2 linked regions of the Drosophila melanogaster genome follow. The protein of the gene in region 1 interacts with the protein of each later gene in a biochemical or structural test. Each region holds a gene or a part of one and is shown on either strand. Other genes may lie near its edges. The genes, in order: Nrg and pyd.

Region 1 (10,895 bases):
CCTACCACATTCGACAACCGGTTCACTAAGCTCAATCATCACGACGTCCATAGCATCCTCCGAACCGGATCCTGGAGCGGTGAGCGGCGGCGGCGGCGGCGGCGGCGGCGGCGGCGGCGGCGGCGGAATAGGAGGAGCAGGTGGCGGCGGCGGCGGCGGCGGAGGCAATGGCGGTATCGGATCGGGTGCCCTGGTGGCAGCGGATGCCTCCAGCATTGCCGGCATCAATGGCAGCTCCGAGGAGAAGTTGGCGCTCAATCGACCCGGCATCAAGCAGGAGAAGTGGACAACTATCCTACTGCAGGTATCCATTCCGTTCTTTCTGGCCGGGATTGGTACCATCGGAGCTGGCATTGTCCTGGGACGCGTTGAGGTGAGTCCATTTGTTATAATCAATAGTATATTAATATGAAATAGAAGCAAATAATAGCAATAAGATGTTCGAATAGTTATACTTTTAATTTGAAATGCAAATGTACTTTCCCTACTTTGTGTATTCGTATTTATCCATCAATTAGACAGCTTTAAATATAATTAAATTGCAATAGAATAGACTTGGTAAACTGATACAGTTTAAGGTATTTAATCTCCCTTCAGTTCGACAAGTACAAACGCCAAGAAAGGCGAATAGAAACGACAGCGTTAATTACGCCAAATTAAATTGTAAAATTGTAAAAATTTGCTCTATGGAATGGGTGCCCCATAAAATGGGTTTTACACCAAGTCAAGTACAAAGTAAATCGCAAATTAGTTAATTGCACATTTGAGCTGAATTCATCATATTGTGTGGGAAAATTCCAAGCAGCGAAAGAGTAAACATACATCCATAGGTAAATCGAATGATTATGAGAAGTGACAAGATTATATATTTATTTGCAAGCATATGTCACCATTTGATAAGACCAACAAATTACAGCAAATACAATTATGCAGATAAGGACACTTTATGGCTTTGCCTCATCAATAATCCTGTGCGATGAAGCCACGTGATAAAATTAGAAATCAGCTATAAGTACGCATTACACTTAAACAATCTGTTCGAGATTCAAGACTTCAAGAGCCACTCAATCAAACTGAAACCAGACAAAGCTCGGCTATTTTTAAACCTTTCCCCACGATTTGTGTACCTGGTGAATTGGCACAATTCCTTTTAGAATGTTTTATTTATGGCTGTGAAGTATACACATGCAGATATGCATAGTACATGCGTGTTAAATAGTTAACGTTTAATTTGCCCGCTAATTGATGGTAAAACTTCTGGGCCAAACTGGAGACTCAGCCAGTTACAGGCGGCCAATGCCCGAAACGAACTGAAAATATTGGTTAAATCTGGAGGAGATTTATTGCTGAGCCATAAATATGCTCAAATATTTGCTTTAGAACTTAATTGGGAATTAGAGAAGGTGTATTTTTAATAAGGTTCTCAACGAAAATATAATTACTTGTTAATAAGTTGTTGTAACCAAGTAAGTAATCCGATCTATCCGTTCATTAATTTCTTATATTCCCTTTTCTCTCGCCCAATTTAACCAGAAATGGTATGTCTTCAAGAACGTAAGCGAGCTGTTCATCCTGGTGCCGGCACTTTTGGGTCTCAAGGGCAACCTGGACATGTGCCTGGCATCGCGTCTCTCCACGCAAGTGAATCTGGGCAACATGACCAGCAGACAGGGCGTAATACGGATGATAGTGGGGAACATAGCACTGGTGCAGGTCCAGGCGACGGTGGCCTCCTTTCTGGTGGCCATGTTTGCGGTGAGCGTGGGCGCGGCCATGACCGGTGACTTCTATTTCGAGAACATGATGCTGCTGACTGCCTCGGCCATGTTCACGGCCACCTCGTCGTGCTTTGTGCTGGGTAGGATTGCACCTGCGACTTTTCCATTCCATACACTCTCAATTATATTAATGGCGTTTCTTTAATTTTAGACTTCGTTTTGGTGGCTGTAATCCTGTTCTCGCAGAAGTACCGCCTCAATCCGGACAACCTGGCCACACCGTTGGCCGCCTCCATTGGTGACGTGGTGTCCATCAGTTTGCTCTCCTTTATCGCCTCGCTGCTGTACGATCATATCAGTATGTGTCTATATTATATTATATTATCCATTTGTGTATATCTAACTAATGGCTGTTCATTTTCGCACAGAAACGCACCTGTGGATCACATTCATCGTGGTCACCTGCTACCTGGTGCTGTTGCCCATGTGGGTGATGATCGTGCTGAGGAACGAGTACACGCGGCCGGTGCTAAAGAGCGGATGGGTTCCCGTCCTCTCGGCCCTCTGCATAAGTGGGTACGTACTGCGTACTAATAATAACTGGGAACTACGAACTGCGCACTCTGGCAAATCAATTCGATTCGATTGGATCGAACTCTCGAATCTTAGGGACAATAAAATTGGGGTACCATGATAAGCAGAAAAGACGTCAAGCTGGCCGCTATATTTAGATATATCAGATCGTTTCATTTAATGCCCAATCATGTCCAGGCGATTGTTTTTTGTGGGGAGTAATGAGTAGCCGAGACCATGGGAATCATTCGCACGGTTTGATGTCCCTGACTCGTGTTTGGCGACAGGTCAAGTGCTCTTATAATTAGAATTTAGCATTAGGATTTGAATTCCCGGGCGTAATTACTCGCCATGACTGGGAAATTTACGGCAATAGAACTTCAAAAGACAAACACACTTGAGTTGGTTCGAATCAGAATTAAAATCAAATGAAATGAAGTCAACAATGGGTTTAAGTGCAACTACTGACTGCTGTATTTAACTGATCCGATTACTGAATCATTCCCTCATCTCATTACAGTCTGGGTGGCCTTGTGTTGGATGCCGCCGTCGAGGTGTTTAATGGATTCGTAGTGTTTCAACCGATCATCAACGGAATCGGCGGCAATCTGGTATCGGTGCAGGCCAGCAAGATATCCACAATGCTGCACCAGAGCTCAATTATCGGGATTATACCACCGCACACGCAGATCTTCGAGTGGCCTTGGCGGGCGCTCTTCAAAGGAGGTAGGTCTCAATCAGAATTGGCAATTGGTAATGGAATCGGGTTATTATTCATTTGTGCTCTTCATACAGTTCCCTATGCGAAGACAGCGAGGATACTTATTGCCATGTCCATACCCGGCAATGTTCTGTTCATCTTTGCTGCTGACTATATAAACTATAGCACCTCGACGGTCACCTGGGTGTTTGTGCTTTCCTATTTGACCGCCAGTTTGGTTCAGGTGAGTTTTGAATATGCTAAGGCCGTTTGCTGATGTATGTACATACATACATACATATGTCATTATAAACCCTCCGAAAACACAACGCTAATGTGCTGCGATCGTTTCAGGTGATGCTGCTGCTGTATATTGCCCACATCATTGTGCACGCGATGTGGAAGTGGAAGATCGATCCGGATAACTCGGCCATACCCTACCTGACGGCCTTGGGCGATCTGCTCGGCAGCAGTCTGCTGGCGGTGGCGTGGCTCTTCACCATGTCGGTGGGCATGCAGTACGGATCCGGAATGGAGACACTAAACGCACCTAACTAATGTAGCTAACGAAATAGGGAGTACGGAGTAACGTAGAACGATAAACAAGGCAGCCACACATACACACACACCATACAATATAAAGAACTGTTATGTACCTAAAACAAATATACAGAAAACATAGAAATTGTACGTATAGCCAGCCTCCTCCAGCCACCCAAAAATCTTAAATCCAAGACAAAAAAAAAAAACCTCCCAACACCAAACGGAAACGGAAACGGAAACCGCTATAAAACGAACTAACTTTTAATGATGCATGTCGAATGCTCGAGGCGAGAGATATTAAGAGATATGATATCATTTTACATTGTGTCCTTCTTCACATGGCTTTTGCTTGTGTTCCTTTTGCTCTACCGAGAAATTATGTGCGATTATGGTATATATACAGGCTATATATAGGCATATGTAGAATTGCAGGCCGCTGCGTCATATTTTTTAAGGCTTTTAGGACAATATTATACACATTTAAAGAAAAGTATATACATTGTATAGGGAGAAAAAGACGACGAAGAATTACTAAAAGAACATTTACGCCACGCAAATTGTTTTCTCCCACTTTGGTTCTTGATTCTTTCGCTCTTGATTACCTTAAACAGCCAAATAATAATTGCAAAACGTAGACGTAAATAGAGCCTACTTAAATCCTTAATTTACACTTAACCAATTATGTAGTATTAGCGCAGATTTGATTTTTGCAAGTCTCGCTTTCGATTTTGTTTTTTTTTTTAATATTACTTTTCTCATTGTCCCCTTCCATCCCCCTTTCCATTTCCCCCCCGCAGAGCGCGAGCGATAAAAAGAAATAGGAGAAGCAATAATTAAACCGCGAATTGCGATATATATGATTGCAAATTAGTTAGGACGATGGAAAGGAAGTGTGTATGCAGGAGTTTGTGCGTTCTGCTCCGCATCAAAAAGTGAACAGGGATTAAAATGATGAGAATGAGAGACGTTCTGAAAGGAAATGTGATCGATATTTAGTTATAACAATAATAATAATAATAATAATAAATTAATTGAAAACGTAAGAGAAAAGGCATCAATATTGTGTAATACTTGAAACAATAATACCAATTAAATAAATATGTTGGAATAAACGAAAGAAATCCAAATAGTTTCAATATCTTTATAATTAATTATGTTTCTGTTTAGCGTTGCTCAGAATTGTAATTAAAACGTAAAACCATTTGAATTTGAATATTTTGGCGCCCAGTTCATCAATCGATATATCATTCATGTTATGGGTAGCATTGAACACACTATCGATAAGAGTCTCTAAAGAGTTACAAATATCGATAAGAGCGTAGGTTATTTAAAAGTATATCGCATCCCTGGTAATCAATCGATAGTTGGTATATCTTAGATAAATATCGATAACCGTAAACCAGTTTGTCGGTGATGCCACCCCGCATTCCGTGCGTCCGATTGTTACCGTTCGCGAGGCTGGCAGTTCCTCTCCGCATTCGAAAAGAAAATATCCGCGCTGCTGGTTGTGTATGTCCGCCAAATCGTATTTACTGAAAACTACGCCGAAAACACCGCGATACATATTCGCAGCCGAGCGAATATATATCGTTATTTGGGTGTTTAAGCACTAACTTTATTTATTTTTTCCTAAAAATTCCGCGTGTATAACATAACTGTCCCAGTGTGTGTGTATATGCGTCGGTGTTAGTGTTAGTGAGCGCCGGGAATTGAAAATAAAATAGTAAAAAAAAGAGGAAAAAAAACGAACTGACGCCGCGTAGAAAATTGTCTTATTTACTCCGCCAATATATAAATTGGTTTTAGCTCTGCCTTCGCTTTTTTTTTTTAGTGTGCGTTCGTGTGTGTGAGTGTGCGGGTGTGCTTGTCTGGGAATTGTTTTAAAAAAATAAGAAAAATTGGTTGCCAAACGAAAGGAAGAAAAAAAAACCCAAAACAAAATTGTTTGTCTCCTTGCGTTACTTCCACCTTCATTTTTTGTTGTTTTTTTACTTTGCACACTGTGCCGCACCCAAAAAGTTAAATAGTTGATGGTTTTCATTAATGCAATTGATTAAAAATGAATGGCAATGCAATATTGTACGAAGCACACGATGACAACAAAAAAGGAGAAGGAGAGCAAATCGGAGGACGCCAAAAGCCACGCAAAGGCAACAACAACAGCAACAATGGGCGCCATTAACTGTACAAGAGCGCTCAAAACCTCAACATTTAAAGCTCTGTGTTTTTTTTATTTTTCCTATTTTTTTGTTGTATTCTAGTTGTTTTTGTATGTACATATGTATTTACCACGAAGCCAAAACTTCGTAAGCGAGTTATTGAGTGGCTCCTTCTCACTCGCTCCGTCTCTCACGCTTTGGCGCGTCGCCCTCTCCCGCCTTCCTCTCTCTCTCTTACCTGAGTTTTGAGTTTTGGATTCTTGAGCGCTTTTTGGCAGAATCCCGTCATCTAGTTGTTGTTGCTGCTGCTGGCTTCTATGACTTAAAGGTAAGCATTATGGATTTGAACCAAGTTTTCGTCCAAGGGCGTAATCTTAACTCCACACACACTGTTTTTTTCTTTTCATTTTTATTGGTGGCTCTAAAACAGGTTTTCTAGCAGCTAGCGAAGATGGTGACGAAGAAGAAGAGCGCAGACAATGAGCGCGAATTACGGCATGTGTGTGTGCGTGTGTCGGTGTTCTTGTTTTGGTGTGTGTGTGTGTGTGTGTGTGTAAGGTGGGGCAGCTTCAAGAGATCACTTTTTGAGCTCTTTTTACGTTTTTTGCCCTCTCCCTCGTTCGTCGCCACTTTGGCGCTCTTCTCGCATTTTCACATGTACTTTCCACGTTCCTAGCGATTTCTCTCTAAATTCTTTCGATTTCATACCTCAAGTACAGAGATAACGGGTTTTCCATTTACAATTTAGAAGATACAAAAAACAAACAATCTTTTAGCGTTTTCAGTTTTATTTTCGTCTAAGCCATTTAATTCATTTACTTTAAAATTCTTTAAATTTAGCAATATCTGAAACAACTGATTTTCAATTTTTTTCAATGATTCTCAATTGCAAACTGAATTGAGTTTAGTTAGGTAAATATATACATTTTGTACTTCTCTCCGCTATTTTTTGTGGTTTTTGCTTTTGACCATGCGGTCATCGCGACGACGTCATCGTTGTGAATAGGTTTATATATATGTATGTACATATATGCATATGTATATGGCAGTTCGTTCCGCCCCAGCAACGCCGTCGACAGCAATGCCTCCGCCCCGAATCGACCCAAAAACGTATCAAGAAAAATAATAATAAATAAATAAAGAAATAACAGAAACTGAAACTGCGTCAACTGAAGCAGCATTAAAAATTAGCTAGTTAATAAATGCCCTTGTTGGCCTTTTGGTGTGGGGATGTCCGGCTAAAGATACAAGATACAATAAGTGATGAAGATATTACTTCACATGCTTACAACATATTAAAAGTATTTAAATAAAAAATATTTGCTAAAATTGTACGAGTTTTTGATAACAAGTTTTATCAACCGGCGACCACAACAGCAAAAAAAAAAAAAAAAAAAAATTTAAGTGCAAATTTCAAAAGTTAATTCAAGAATAAATGTTTAAGCAAACGAAACCAAATCCAAAGTCACTTTGCTGATATGTAATCGCAGCTATTTTTTTTATTTCAAGCACAGTGTGATGATAATTTTCGGCCATTCTTGACTTTGAAAAAATCAAGGCCAAGGTGATCGGAGAATATTTCCATGTTGCATGTGAAAGACTATTACTATTATTTATAAATTCAAGTCCCCTTTCAATGAGGCTAACCTCCAGTAACTGGGATCGTTTTCAATGAGAGCGATAAGAAAAGAACTTGAAACGAAACATTGAAGCTTTATCGATAGAGAAACATCCCCTATAATTTATGCCATTAACAATTGGAAAAGTCAAGCATAATTAAAGCAGTTCATTAATTGAGTAGGTACTGAAATGGACACTCACACTCGAGGCCATTTGAATAGGTACAAAGCATCTACTATTTACTGTTTTTTTTTTGGTCATGCTTCGCCTATTTGCTATTTGGTGATTTTTCGCATATAAATTTTCAATTTGTCAACAATAAATCATACGCAGATCACTGATTACTCTCTTACATATATTTATATGTTCTTGGATTTACTTGGTTACTTGGGAGCTTTTTCCTATATCTTGGATTCCTAAACCTCAAATATATTCCATATTGCCACTTACATACATGTGTATGATCTTGGGTGATTTTCCTCGTAATTGAATTGTTCTTGAACGCCAGAGGCGAACTTTTCGTTTATCAATTCTCCTGGGGCTTTTGTAATTTGTGTGTTATCTACTTTTGAGTCGATCAATTCTTGATTCACACTTGAGGCACTATATTGGTTTTGTCACTTCTGTTGGCTGCTGAATGTACATACATACATACATAATATGATATCATCGATATCTATCTGCGAACTCTCGCGCAATTTATGAGAGATTTATGTTGATATTTTCATATTTTTTTTGGGCGTGCAATTGCCTGGCATTTGTTATAATTAAAATGGAACGCCCCAAAAAGTTGGGGGAGCTGGTAGGAATCAGCAGGCATATATACTCGTACACAAATTTGTGCGTTCCAAGTGGATAAATACATACATATGTATATATGTACCTATAAATTTATGCGTTTTTGTGCGGCAATGTGTGTGTGTGTGTGTTGGATATATATTGATATCATCGCCGCGATCTGTATCTTTTTCGAAGCTCTACCATGTGGACGGTCTTCTCGGATCTCATTTTTAGTCTTTTCATCTCTTGAACAGCTGTGGCTGATGGCGATTGCGTCATTTTCATTCGACATTTCTGCCGCTCTGCGACCAGTTTTTAATCCAATTCCGTCCGTTGGCCACGAACAAAATCCTTTTATGATGTCATTTCAAATGTTGCATGTCGCATGTCGCAGGCCTCAGGCCAAAAAAGAACAACAAAAATGAAAAAATCCAAAAAAAAAAAAAATCCTTTCTCGTTCACAAAATCAATAGTAAAAGCCAGGAAATACAGCTTTTTTTCACTTCGCTACTCCGCAAACAAACAGAAAACACACAAAAACGGCGTGCTGATGTCATCATTCATTGCCTTCGAGAATTGGCCTGTTTCTTGGTTAGTTTCCCCACATTTCATTTTTTTTTTCCCTATTTAAACAAACTATATACATATATCATATCCGATTTGCTATTTGCATGGCATACCATGCTTTCTGGTAAATGAACCAACATTTAGTTATTTGAAACGCTCATCAAGATTACCAATTCTTCGTATAAAAATGTAGGAAAATGTATTATTACTTAAATTGATAATATATTTGTAGCATTTGATATAAGCTTAACAATTTTTTGAGCGGATGTGCTTTGATTTGAATAAAGATAAACACCGAAAAAACTTCATAGAATTCCGAATCAATCATCTCAATTTTCTTTCTAGCTAAACTTTTGTTGAAAGCATAAGGGTTAAGGCGGCAAAGTGTGCCTGTACTCTTGTGGGTTAAGGGGATGCGATGCCGGTTCGCGGTTTTCGCGGTTATCGCGCTTAGATGTCTGTTGTTTTACTTTTATTTATCATTTTTCGTTGCCAAGCTTTTTTTCGAAACTGAGAAAAAAAAATGTGCTTGTTTTAAATAATTAATCTTGTAATTAAAGTTGCTTATATTTGAAATTCATATTAACTTTAGCTGATATACCAATTATAACGCAGAACACTACTATATTATAGCATTTAAAAAATAAGTGCTTGTAGTATTGCATTTTTGATTTCCTGACTAATAATTGGCTTCTATGTTCTGCGCCCATTTTTTTGCCAAGTGCATTTTGTTAGTTTGTTAGTTTCGCTTGTTTTATCAGCCGTTTTTGCGGCTGCTCTAGGTGCCAGTACCGCTGCTCTGCCGGCGTCTAAAAGTGCATTGCACTTTTAAGTGTTTTCGGCCTGGGAAATCGGATGGAAAGCGGGAAAAGACGCCAGAGAAAAGCCCCATGTGGCACAGTTGCAAATAGACGAAAAAAAGAAGTAGAAAAAAAAAAATATGGGAAAAAGGGAGACAGACAGGAGTAGCGAGTGCAATTTGCATTAGCTTTTCGCTATGTTTTAGTTCTTGTGCACTCACCGCCAACTTCTTGTTTGCATTTTCACCATTTTCACCATTTTCCATGCCCAATGGGGCTACTTGGGGACCCTCTTGTCATTTGGGTTAAATGCGAGCAGGCGTAGAAAAAGGGGCATGGCACTTTTTTTTAATTAAACTGAAAGAAACGCTGAGTTTGAAAGGCAACTGGTATTTCGAAATAAAAATATCTCAATTGAATTACCATTCAGACGATCATTGCAAACTACTTTTAAGTGGGTTAACTTGCTCCTCTTACTGCATTTGCAATACGTAATGTACAATTACAGATTATTGAACTTTTGTTGCGATTTAATTGATCAATCAACAAGACAACGCAATAAAGTGAAATTATCTTGAAAACTTTATCATTATTTACTTGTATATTTGCGATCTACAGGCGATCGCGTTTCATTTTCTGCAAATGCAAACAATTTTTTTTTGCCGGCATTTACTCGTATTTGATCGAATTTATCATTTAGTTTGTTTCCAGTCTTAAACAAACAACAAATAAAGCTTCGTCGTTTTATGGAGCTTTTTTCCAGCCTCAAATTGTGACTCAAAGCCAATTCAAGCTTATATCTTTCCCGATTTGTGTGTTTGTTCATTTTTTTTCAGGTATATTTTTTTTTTTTTTGTTTATTTATGTATTATCGGACACACCCAGTGAGAAAAAATTTGTATGACAAGCTGCCACTTTTTTCTTGTGTGTGTGTGTGTGTGCTTTTTTTTTTTTTGAGCCTCTCTCTTTGCCGCTCTTATTTTGTTTATTCTTCAGATTTGGTGGGAAATGGAATTGTACAATTGATCTTTGACAGTTATATCAGTTTGAATCATACATATATGTATGCATGTATGTATGTGTGTAGTTTAGGCGTGGCTAACTGCTAAGTGTAGAAGTATCTACATAATTATGGCAATTAACAGACGACTGACCCACATAATGAGCACTTATGTAAGCTAAAAAGTAACTGGAATATTTTGTAATATCTATCTGTAATATTTATTTGCTGTTCTTTGACCTTTGGGAATTCTAAAGAAATCCATTAGTTTGATGAATATCTTATACTTCTTTTTTTTTTTTTTTAGTTTTTTGTTCGTGTTGTGGGGCTACTAAACTTCCGTTTAGTGCGTTAGTTGGCCCGCTTTAAATGTGGTTAAACTGAGGATACTAGCGTATGTTGTGGATATAGTGTGGATATTAGTGGGGTTGGTGG
Region 2 (10,556 bases), on another chromosome or scaffold:
AACTTGGCAAAATTCTGATGTTTTTATGTGGTTTTTATTTTTTGTTGCTGGCAATGCAGCAGTGTGAAGTTGGTATTTATAGGAATGCTGGTTGTTGTTGCTGTTGCCAGAGCTGCTGTGAATTTGCAATGAGCGAAATGGTTAAGGAACTTAAAAACAGGTAAAAAAAAGGAGCTCAACAGATGGCTGCTGAAGTGCAATGAAAATGCAATGAGTCAACGGCTGCAAGGGCGTTATTCCACATAAATATACATACATGTATATGTCTTCGATTTGCAGGTATGCCAGTGAATTCCATAATCATAAGCTTTGAAGGAAAAGGAATTGACTGGGCGAAGAAAAACTACAAAGTACTACACTAAAAAAAGGGAAACACAGAAGTACAAACATTTTTTCTTGGACTTTTCATCTATAAGATAGTTTTAGCTGAAATTATTTATCATTAACCTCTTTAAGTGCATTTCAAAAAGTGCTTGATGTTTGATTATAATAGTCCCCATGTCCTAGCCTAACAATAACAAAAGAAAATAAGTTTTCTGTTTGCTCAAGTGGCTGGAATGAGTAGACAAAAAGTGCAGAGGAATGATAGGGGAAAAGTGGAAAACTCAAAGACCAATGGGTCAAATAGCTGAGTATTAACCTAGGTCATGCTACAACTATTGTATATACAAATATACGTTGCAATAATGAGTTACGGAAAATGGGAAGCCAGTAAACGTATTTCAATTAAGTTTTTGATTAGTTCTGGCCGATAACGTCCGTCTCGTTTAGATGTTTTTTGTTTTTATTTCCCAAATTCAATTACCTCAAACTGCTTTTTTGAGGCGCTGATTTTTATCTGCTAGACGGGACTTCGTTAATGACCTGGCTTATGTGAAGCATTTAAAAAACTTAATGCACTGCTATTACTTTATCTCCCCGTATTGTTGTTTTTTTCTTTATTTGTAATTTCTTTGAGCGCTTGAGCACGTGCAACATTTCAAATTGTCGCTGTGTCTGTATAAGTTTTTTCGTTGTCATTTTTTTTTTTATATTTTGACACAATTATTGCTATTACGAAAAAACAGATGTTGGTGACTACGCCACCTGGTGGCTACTGCCGGTCATTACGAACTTTGGGGCGGGAGGAGTGGCAAATCGGGGCTTATGCACAATAGTCTTGCAATTGGATAATTTGATTTGTACACGAGAGCGAGCTACACTGCAACTACACATTTCGAAACTATTGTTTAGTTTGTGAACAACATTTTTAATATTAATTTACAAATTGTAAAATCAGGTCATTAATTTTAATAAAAAGAAAGTGATGGTAGATACCAAATGTGACATGATTGAGTAATATTAGGTAATAGTATTGAAATGTAGGATGTATTCGGGTAAGTGTAATCAAATTTGTATTATTTTATTGCAGCGCAGGCATAAAACTTCATGGCCCATAATTTTTGGCCAAATATATTTAAACCAGGGAGGTATTTTACCTTTGAAAAATTGTGCAATAATTGTGTCCGAAGGCTTACACTATATTTTTTAGATTTAATAATATTCTGTGACTGTTTTATTTACCTCAACACATAATTTATTTGTACATGTTGACTCTTGGGTAAATAATTTTGGTTTCTTGCTTGTCCTCATTAACTTTTTAATAATAATATTTTCTGCCCCGCATGGTTTCTTATAGTAATATTTCCACTTATAACTAATAAGCTGCCAGACTTTATTAAGATATCACACAGTTTTTTCCCTTTTTTCTTGATTGAGTTTATTCTGCCTTGCATTTTCAATAAGCTGCAGCAATTCGTCTACAAAAATATCTTGGCACGTGACTACTGCCTTGGAATACGAAATTAAAACAAAAAACTGTCGGCAAAGGAAAATCTGTAAAATGTTTTAAACAAGTTACTGGCGCAACTTTCTTCGCTTCCCCAGCGGAACCACAGAAAGATACCACAAAAGTGGAGGGGGAATGGGGGATGGGTGACGAAGTCGTGTGCTTCATTCGATTTACGAGCCACTGCAGCCAAAGGGGAAGTCCCCGTCCAGACTTGAGCTGCATCGCAATTGTTTTTTCTTTTTGTTTACTTTGCATATGAAAGTCACACTGAAGTCATTTTCCCCCAGAATTTGGCTTAAATGTCTTAACCCATTCGACCCGAGTCTAAAGCAAGAATTTAAAGAGATAAATTTATGTTCATTTCGCTTGGGTTTCCAACAGCAATTTATTTTTTTTCATCCGAGTTCTAAATGGATTTATACACACGTCGGAAGTTGAGTCATGGGCGGAGGCGAAGTACATTGGGTTTGTGTGGATTGAAAATTGTTTATGAACCAAAAATTACTTAAATTTTGTATTCAATTTTCTATCTACATAAAATTATAAAATATTTTATGATTTTTTTGTTAGCTTTTCAACTATTTTGTAAGTACTCTTCTTAATAACATTCGCCCACCGTTTTGACCATGTTTAAAGGCACAATCAACGAAACCAATTTCTCAAACTCAAGTGCTCCTCAGAGCCCGAATCTGGATTCGAAACAGAAGCGCATAAATTGTGCCCCAGGCGAATGTGGAATTAAGCTAAAACAAAAACTATATACATATATATATATCCACTAATGACGATAGCGTAAACGAAACAGAAAAACAAAAGAATAAAATCAAACCGACAAAAAAAGTCTATATCGTCATGGAAGCCTGAGCAGCAGCGGCTAAAAATGCATAAAATGGTCAGCAAAAGAAAAAGGGCCTGAAATGAAAGAGGTAAAAGGAACCGCAGCCGAGCTTTGACTTTGAAACTTTTTGAGAAATTGAAAGGCCGCAGTGAATATCATTTTGGGGGCAGGTGTGTTCGAGGATGCCAAATTAGCAGCTACCGTCTGACCACCAGCTCTCCCCTTCCTTTCATCTCCATTTCGCCTTTGCCAATCTCTCACCTCGTTTATTTCTTCATCCCATTTCCATTAATGGCCCCAAGCGAAATTTTGAACATCATTAATTTTAATTTTTGCGCAGACGCACCCCAGGGGCGGTAGGCTTCACTGCCTCCATTCTGGACACTGCAGACAAGCCACGAGTGATGACTGATGATGACCTGGCGGAACGAGCCACACTACCTCCATACATACATCCACGAATGTAATTAAGGTGGCCAAATGGAAAAAAAAGGTGCCACAGCGACAATTGAAAGTGTTGCAACGCGAGTTGACAAATTTCGATGTTGCCCAAGAGCAATGCAATGCGGTGATTGATGGCTGAGGTGGTGGTATTCAATGGCGTAAAGAATTTTAATATTAGGAAATCAAGGAATTTCCCTTAAATATATATATTCTATCTGAGGGGTAAAATAACCAACTTTAAGTCCTGTCATAAAGATTTTTATATTTACTGTTTTTAACGTAGAGTTCTAGATTTATAATCTCAAATGAGGTATTCGGATAAAAAACGATTTAGCAACTGTTAACGGTGAACTAAATTATTTGTAAAGCCCGTCTTTATGTTAGTCATATTTTTCAGAGTTGCCAACTGACCGTGTGGCCTAATGGATAAGGCGTCGGACTTCGGATCCGAAGATTGCAGGTTCGAGTCCTGTCACGGTCGTAAAATTAACTTTTTTCTTTTGTATCCAGAATTTTTTTTATTTATTTTATGAAAATGAGATTTGAGGGCATTTGGTTGCATTTATCACACTTTGTAAGTCTGTATCTCACCTTCTTGAAGCGCCTTCGCTGCGATGAGGAGTGCGTCGATGCAGTTTCGAGCAGATTGCTGTTGTTATCCCCCCCATCCCTTTTGCCCAGTGCCTGGAGAAGATCGTCAACGTTGCGTATATAGGGGCGATCTCGATCCCCGCCGCGTTCCCTTTCCTTTTCGCCACCCCCTCCACCGCCGCCCATGCAGCTGGTTATGCTCCGATTGCCCACACTATTGCTACGCGATCGGGATCTGGTCTTTTGCTTGCCCAGCCAGTAAACCTGATTTGCCAAATTTATTTCGGCGGCTGCCGCAGCCTTTCTTCTGCCCAATTGTTGTTGCTCCTGCACCTGTTGATGCTGCTGCTGCTGTTGTTGCTGCTGCTGCTGTTGTTCACTGGCCAGATATTCGCCGGCTATATGAACCTTGGGTGCACTAACCAACTGCAGGCCAGTGGCGCCGAATTGCTGAGGGAATTCGTGCAACTCGAGGGGGAAACGGGGATCCATGGTCTGACCCGGTTGACGCGGGTACATATAGCCATCGCGTAGAAACATCTTGCTGGTGGTATAGACCCTATCCGCGATTTGGTACACTCCACTCGAGCCGGGACCCTCGGCGCCGCCAATAATTCCATTTCGGACATAGGCTGTCGGGCGATAGCGAACGAGTGGGTTATATACATTCGATTTGGGGGGTTTCGTTTTGAAACTGCGACGTCGCGTGCTGGGCTTCATATTTTTGTTGTATTTAATTTTCGTTTTTGTTCGTTTGTATTTGCACCCCGCGATAACAGAATGTTTGCTCTACAGAAAATCCACCCTTGTGCTGTAGGTTGCTTGCACACGTATCAAATGTTTTCGAGTTTAAGCGTGCTTGGAACAAGCGACCGTGTGGCCTAATGGATAAGGCGTCGGACTTCGGATCCGAAGATTGCAGGTTCGAGTCCTGTCACGGTCGAAACCAAAGTATTATTTTTTTTTTGTGAGAAACTTATGTTTTGTTCTTTAAAAAATTCAATTTGTTGCAAACTAAAACCATAAAATAAATCAACAAAAACAACAAAAATTTTAAGGTTCACTTGGCTAATTTTACATAAAATCTACACTGTCTTTAGACTGACGATAGAATGTTTTATGATTACATGTAAAATTAGATCACGCAAAATTATATTTTTTTCCTTTGGAAATATATAAAAAAAAAAAAAATAAAACCAGATTAGTGTTTCAAGGGTGTTGAGTTAATTTAGAGACTTTTTGTTCTTTTTCAAATGTAATTTTCGACCGCGTAAAAGTATGCTATAGATATGGTTGAATTATTTTTCATGGCGTTCTTGTTTAACAGCGCACAAAAGCAGGCAACATTTGTGTTTTTAAAAACGCCTGAGAGAGGCCAATAAAAAAGAGATAAACCCTATAAACTATATTGAAAATAACCGATTTTTTAAGGGTTTTACGCGACCAACACGTTCGGCACACTGCACGTTCGATTTTCCACTGCAATTGTTTGATTTTATTGCAACAACTTTTTCTGCTTTTCTGTTGTTTGCTGGAAGGCACGCACTGCCAATCCAATTAGCCGGGGTTCACCTTTCGAGCCGTCGTCTTTGCGCAAGGTAAATTGTTTTTCGAACCCAAAGTATTGACACAGTTTGCGAGTCACTTGTTTTGTTAGACACATTCGTCTTCCTGAACTGTCAACCGAGCTGTCATATGGATGAGACAGAATGGAGAATAGAGAGAAAGAGAGCCATGCTAATCTGTCAACTCTGAGTTCGTTAATTAAAGACTGATTTGGCAAATAATTGTGGCTTAGCCCTGATCGACCCCAATACCAATTTACAAGCTCAAAACATTGCAAAAACTCAAAGGTACCCCGATTGGGTCAATGAATGTGCGGTCTATTGAACTTTTGATAGTATTATTGACGCCCCTTTTTCACTTAATGATTGCGAATTGAGTTCAGCCGTCGGAAAATACTTTCAAGGTTATCTTACAGGGATCATAAATATAATATCCAAATTTATAGTTAAAAACTAAGTGGAAAAGATGTGGCCAAATATAAATCCCTCTGTCTAAGTGCACATTTTTCTTGTTTAATATATTCAAATTTTCCCTTTCTTTTATCACTTCTGTCACTCCACTTAATTCAATGGCCCTTCTCAGTTTCAATCTGTCAACTTCCTATTATTTCCACCTTATCTGTTTGAGGTTTGTCTTTCTAACACTTCCGCCTACGAAAATCGTTTATTTTTGGTGTGGATTTCTTTTCGTTTCAATCGCGACGAGGCTCAAATACGAACTAAACTGAAATGAATTCAATGAATTTGAAGAGCCTATCGGACACGAGAACATTTTCCAATGGATAGCGTTTCCAGCCGGAGAAGAATACAAGAACAAAAGTGATTGCGATAAAGCTTGGACTGAGCTGAGCAGAGCCCAAGTGAAATGAGACGAAATGAGGGGCTTAAGCCAAACAAATACACCCCTTAAAAGCGTAAATTGTGAAATGGGGCAGATGTTTGGGGGAAAAAACCAAGAATGAAAAGGTTTGAACGATGAACCTCGAGCTATTTTAAAACCACACCCAAATATTTAATACATATCAATCAAGTTCTATGATGTTATGACAAAAAATGGTTTGAGAAACTCTATTTTGTTTTAAGAGGCTCCAAAAGATTTTTATGTTTCTAATTCCATGGAAATACGTATATTTTCTTTGCATAAATCATTGTACTTACAAAGAATTCATCTTCGATGACGGGATCGGCCAGCATCTCAATGGCCTCCGTCATGGATCTGCAGGTGCGATTCGTGTTCTTCTTCTTCTTGAGCTTCCGGCCCAAGGTGGCGGCATCGCTGAAGCGATGAAGCAGTTTGTCCCTCTTCCGGACCGCCAGCGGACTGGTCGTCGAACTGGCGTGACATAACAGCGATCCGTAGCCATTCGTAGAGGATATGGTGCCAGTATTAGCGTAGAAATTCTGCGGTTGATATTGCGCCGGAGCAGTGAGTGTGCTGTTCGAGTCGATTTTCTGTATGAGATTGTACTCGGATTGGGGATATTTGCTGGCCAAATGCGATACAGAATCCGCTTTGGAACCCAATTGCGGCTTGGGTGGCGGCGGTGGCGGTGGATCCTTCATCAAGGCCACCCGACGGGGGGCGGCGCGGGGTATGGTGGCCGAATGGGGGGAGGAGGTGGCGTCACCGCCATAACTAACAGCGCGACGATTGCGATCGTTTTCCTTTTCCCTGAAAGGAAATTTAAATTTAATTTATTAGAATTTTCAATGTATGTTTTACTTGATAATAATAGAACTAAATATGTTTTAAGTACTAAACACAATGTAAATCTACCTATAACGCCTCCTCTGCATCGGTGGACTAAAGAAGAAGTTGGGCGACAGGGGTACAAAGTAACCCCATTGGGGATCTCGATTCGGTCCCTCATGATACATGCCCAACTGGGGCGTCATCTCCCTGGATCGACTGGATCTGAGAATGGGCATGGAAACCCTCTGTGGTCCGAAACTTCTATTAGAGCGATACCGATTCCTATACATATGACGCTCCAGTGAAGATGTGGTGGTCGTAGCATCCGATTCCAGGGTGCAATCCGAATGATCCTTGTTCTCCAGGGTCACATTACTGCCCAGCTCATCGTCATTATCATCATCATCATCCGTGGAACACTCGGGCACCGTATAGCAGGCATAGTCGAATTGCGACATTGTAGAATCGTTTTTCTTATGTCTTTATTTGTTTGGCTTTTCGTTTGCACACACATTTAGTTCTTTGTCATTGTGTCTTTGCGACTCCCACGTAAAATGTTTCAATTATTTAATTAGTCTGCAACTTGTTGCTGTTTTTTATTTGAGTGCTTTACTTTTATTTTTACCTGACAAATGTTAAATGACATTTTCAGTTGGTCTGGCACTTAATTGCTCCACTAGAGTTTGGTCATGTCTTGGATATTTTCTGGTGGCAAAAGAACATTATTTAAGGCATTTATCATGTTCACCCTCTGGACAATTGTGCTTCCCGCCAGAAAAAAATTTCAGGGGTTGTGTATGTCCAGTGGGCACAATTAAAAGTCGTTTTCGGCCTCTGTTGAAAAGTTCGCCTAATGAGGTGTTGAACGGAAGACGTTCTAGTTATGATACTTAACTTGGCCACGACTTTTTACAGACAATTTACTACGGTCCGAAACACAAAAGAAATCAGTGGGAAAGCTAAAAGGGCATTTAACCGAAAGTATTTCATAATTGTTAAGTAAAATGTTCTTTTAGGAATCTTATTGTTAATTTACTATATCTGTATGTATGCACGAAAGGCAAATTTAACTTTGCGGCCTGGCTAGCTAGTAAATTTGCAGACTAAACGTTCATTATTCATTAATGGGGTGAAAAAGGAAAGTGTCAACAGTGAAATCCATCAACATTGCAATTAAAATGTCAAACAAGGAAGTGACTGAGTGGCAGACTCCCGTTTAACCCGCACTTCCTATATACCAAACCAACCCCCCACTAAAAAACGAACTCCACATTATACAGAAACTCTCTATAAAGAGGCTCCATCCATCCATAATGATGATGCAAAAAGTGATCCCCGAGGGGAAAATGTGTAACTGGAGAGTCCAATTGCAGAATTCACAGACAACGACACTCCGGATATGAAGATTACAACGGATTTGGGTTGCCACTCCCGCTGTTGTTTATATTTATTTTATTGTTGCAATTATTTTCCTCTTTACAGCATAGAATTGCATATTAAACGTGATTAATGACAAACGAGAGAAATGGGGGAAAACAGCCGGATGGATAGGCGCGTAGTATAAAATGATGTATAATTTTTGATTGCGCAAAGGAAAATTAGCATATGAGGCGCCTGTGTTTATGGAAATGGTGAAATCAGTCAGAAAAAGGGGAGCAAATCATTTGCATGGCTGGTCGCCAATTCTAAAAAATGTTTCAAATTATTTATAGATAATTGTTGAAAGCAATTATCCTTATTATTTCATTTTTTATTATTTATATTTATTTCTGTTACTTTTTATTTCAATATTTAAATATTTTTCATTGCTTATTTGTTTATGGCGAGTCCATTGTCCACACTGCTCACTGATTTGCTCGCGTAAATCATTCTAAAAATACTTTGATTGGGTCAGCGAATTTCCCAGTAATTTTCAAAACATATCCCAATTTTTCTGTACTATATCATTTACAATTGTTAATAACGAAACACGAGCGCACACACGAAAATGTTCTTAGATATAAACTAAGATAGAAAAGTTCAAATAAAACGTGATTTTTCTTTTCGAATAGAACTTTTCACTTCACGCCGCGGCTGTTCAAAGTAAATGTGCTGACCGCCGGCAATTTCCGAACTGATTTCGAATAGAGCCACGGAAATCTCGTAGCCGCCGTGGGGCATCCACCAACAAATACAACCCTCTCGGACGGAAACATGCGCGACAGACTCGAAAATCGTCGAAAACACTGAGAAAATTGGGAGAGTGAGTTATTTGTGCTGCGGCAGTGGAGAAGGGGGTGGGGGGAAGACGTCAAGCGGAAGAGAGTGCGCCAAATAAGAACAAACATTCTGTTTGACTAAATTGCTCAATATCGGGGGACCAAAATAAAAGCATCAACGAAGAGCGTCGGACAAAGGGAAAAGAAACAAATCAGAGGAAAATATTAGCTTGTATAAAAGAATAAAGACTGCGAAATACCCTTTCATATTTAATGTAAAAAAAAAAATATAAAGAAAATTGATTTTATAAAAATCGAATGACACAAAACAACACCTTAAAATCCCATGTTAGTATGTACATAATAATATATACCATTTTCATATTAAAACTATAAATATAAACAAGAAATATGGTAGGTTATCTTTATACCATAATATTTTTGTTTTTAGCAAATTTTCTCAAATTTAACTGTTGTGGCAACCAAGTTTTGGTCCGAGTATATATACTTTTTGGAAGGGTATTACAAGAACCGAAACATTCTCTGTGGAGACAATTCCCTGGATAACGAGGTGCACACCCAAAGTTTCCATATGCCCGTGGGTCTTCGTGTGTGAAATGTCATGCAAAATAAATGTCAGCCGCTTAAAAATTAGTCCCTCTCTCTTTCTATCCTTTGCTTTCTGCAGCTTGTCTTAAATTGCCATGACTCTTCAGAAAAAATTTATAGAAAAACCAAAAAAAAAAAAACAAAGTAAACTGTTTCTGTTGTTATTGGTGTTATTAAAAATAAACACAGATGAAGTGGTGGTGTCTTGCTTGGGTGCCCCACCAAGAAAACGCAACATTTTCACTTGTCACGCATTTATTTTCCCATTTTCCATGTCCGAAAATGTGTGTCATTTGGGCCAAGACGACGTCTGCGGCTTTTATTGACATCTGCCTTTGTCTGCTCACTTTTCTTGCAATTGGTGAGATTAATGAAAGGAAAGGGCGCAGTGCACCCGGTTCGATTGAAAGTTCTATCAATTACACTTGTTAATTAAAGTTGGGTGTGGATTAGCCCGCATTTCGAGTATTTCTCCCCTGGAGGGGTGTGAGTGTGTGTGTGTGCGGCGGTGTTTTGATAACAATTGCATGACCGCCGCACAAATGCAATTAAATCAGTTCTAAAACGGGCGTGCTGGCTACGAGTACATGGAACTTAAATCCAATTGCCCGAGAGCGTTAAATTAACAATGCAGGCAGCAAATGGAACCAAATGGAATGGCATCGATCGACCATTCTGTCCATATATATACATAGTACATATATATATATATATATGTATATAGTGACGTATTTGGGTGGTCCAAACCAGCCACTTCCATTATTTCAAAGAAATCAGTAATGCACTC

Evidence for each region.
Region 2: the proteins of Nrg (region 1) and pyd interact in far-western blotting, tested with the Drosophila melanogaster proteins (one study listed by BioGRID).

Annotation. Positions count from the first base shown.
Region 1 is NC_004354.4:8,512,378-8,523,272, forward strand, and holds the start of Nrg (neuroglian), read left to right. Parts: upstream 1-5,110; 5' UTR 5,111-5,132; exon of another isoform or gene 5,133-6,021; intron 6,022-10,895. Other genes in the region: CG33181 (uncharacterized protein), read left to right, coding at 1-373, 1,534-1,858, 1,930-2,076, 2,147-2,294, 2,812-3,017, 3,087-3,235, 3,346-3,549. UniProt on the Drosophila melanogaster protein: Essential for septate junctions. Septate junctions, which are the equivalent of vertebrate tight junctions, are characterized by regular arrays of transverse structures that span the intermembrane space and form a physical barrier to diffusion.
Region 2 is NT_033777.3:8,858,359-8,868,914, forward strand, and holds the start of pyd (polychaetoid), read right to left. Parts: upstream 5,991-10,556; 5' UTR 5,884-5,990; intron 5,176-5,883; exon of another isoform or gene 5,144-5,175; intron 4,648-5,143; exon of another isoform or gene 4,636-4,647; 5' UTR 4,425-4,635; coding exon 3,705-4,424; intron 3,595-3,704; exon of another isoform or gene 3,522-3,594; intron 1-3,521.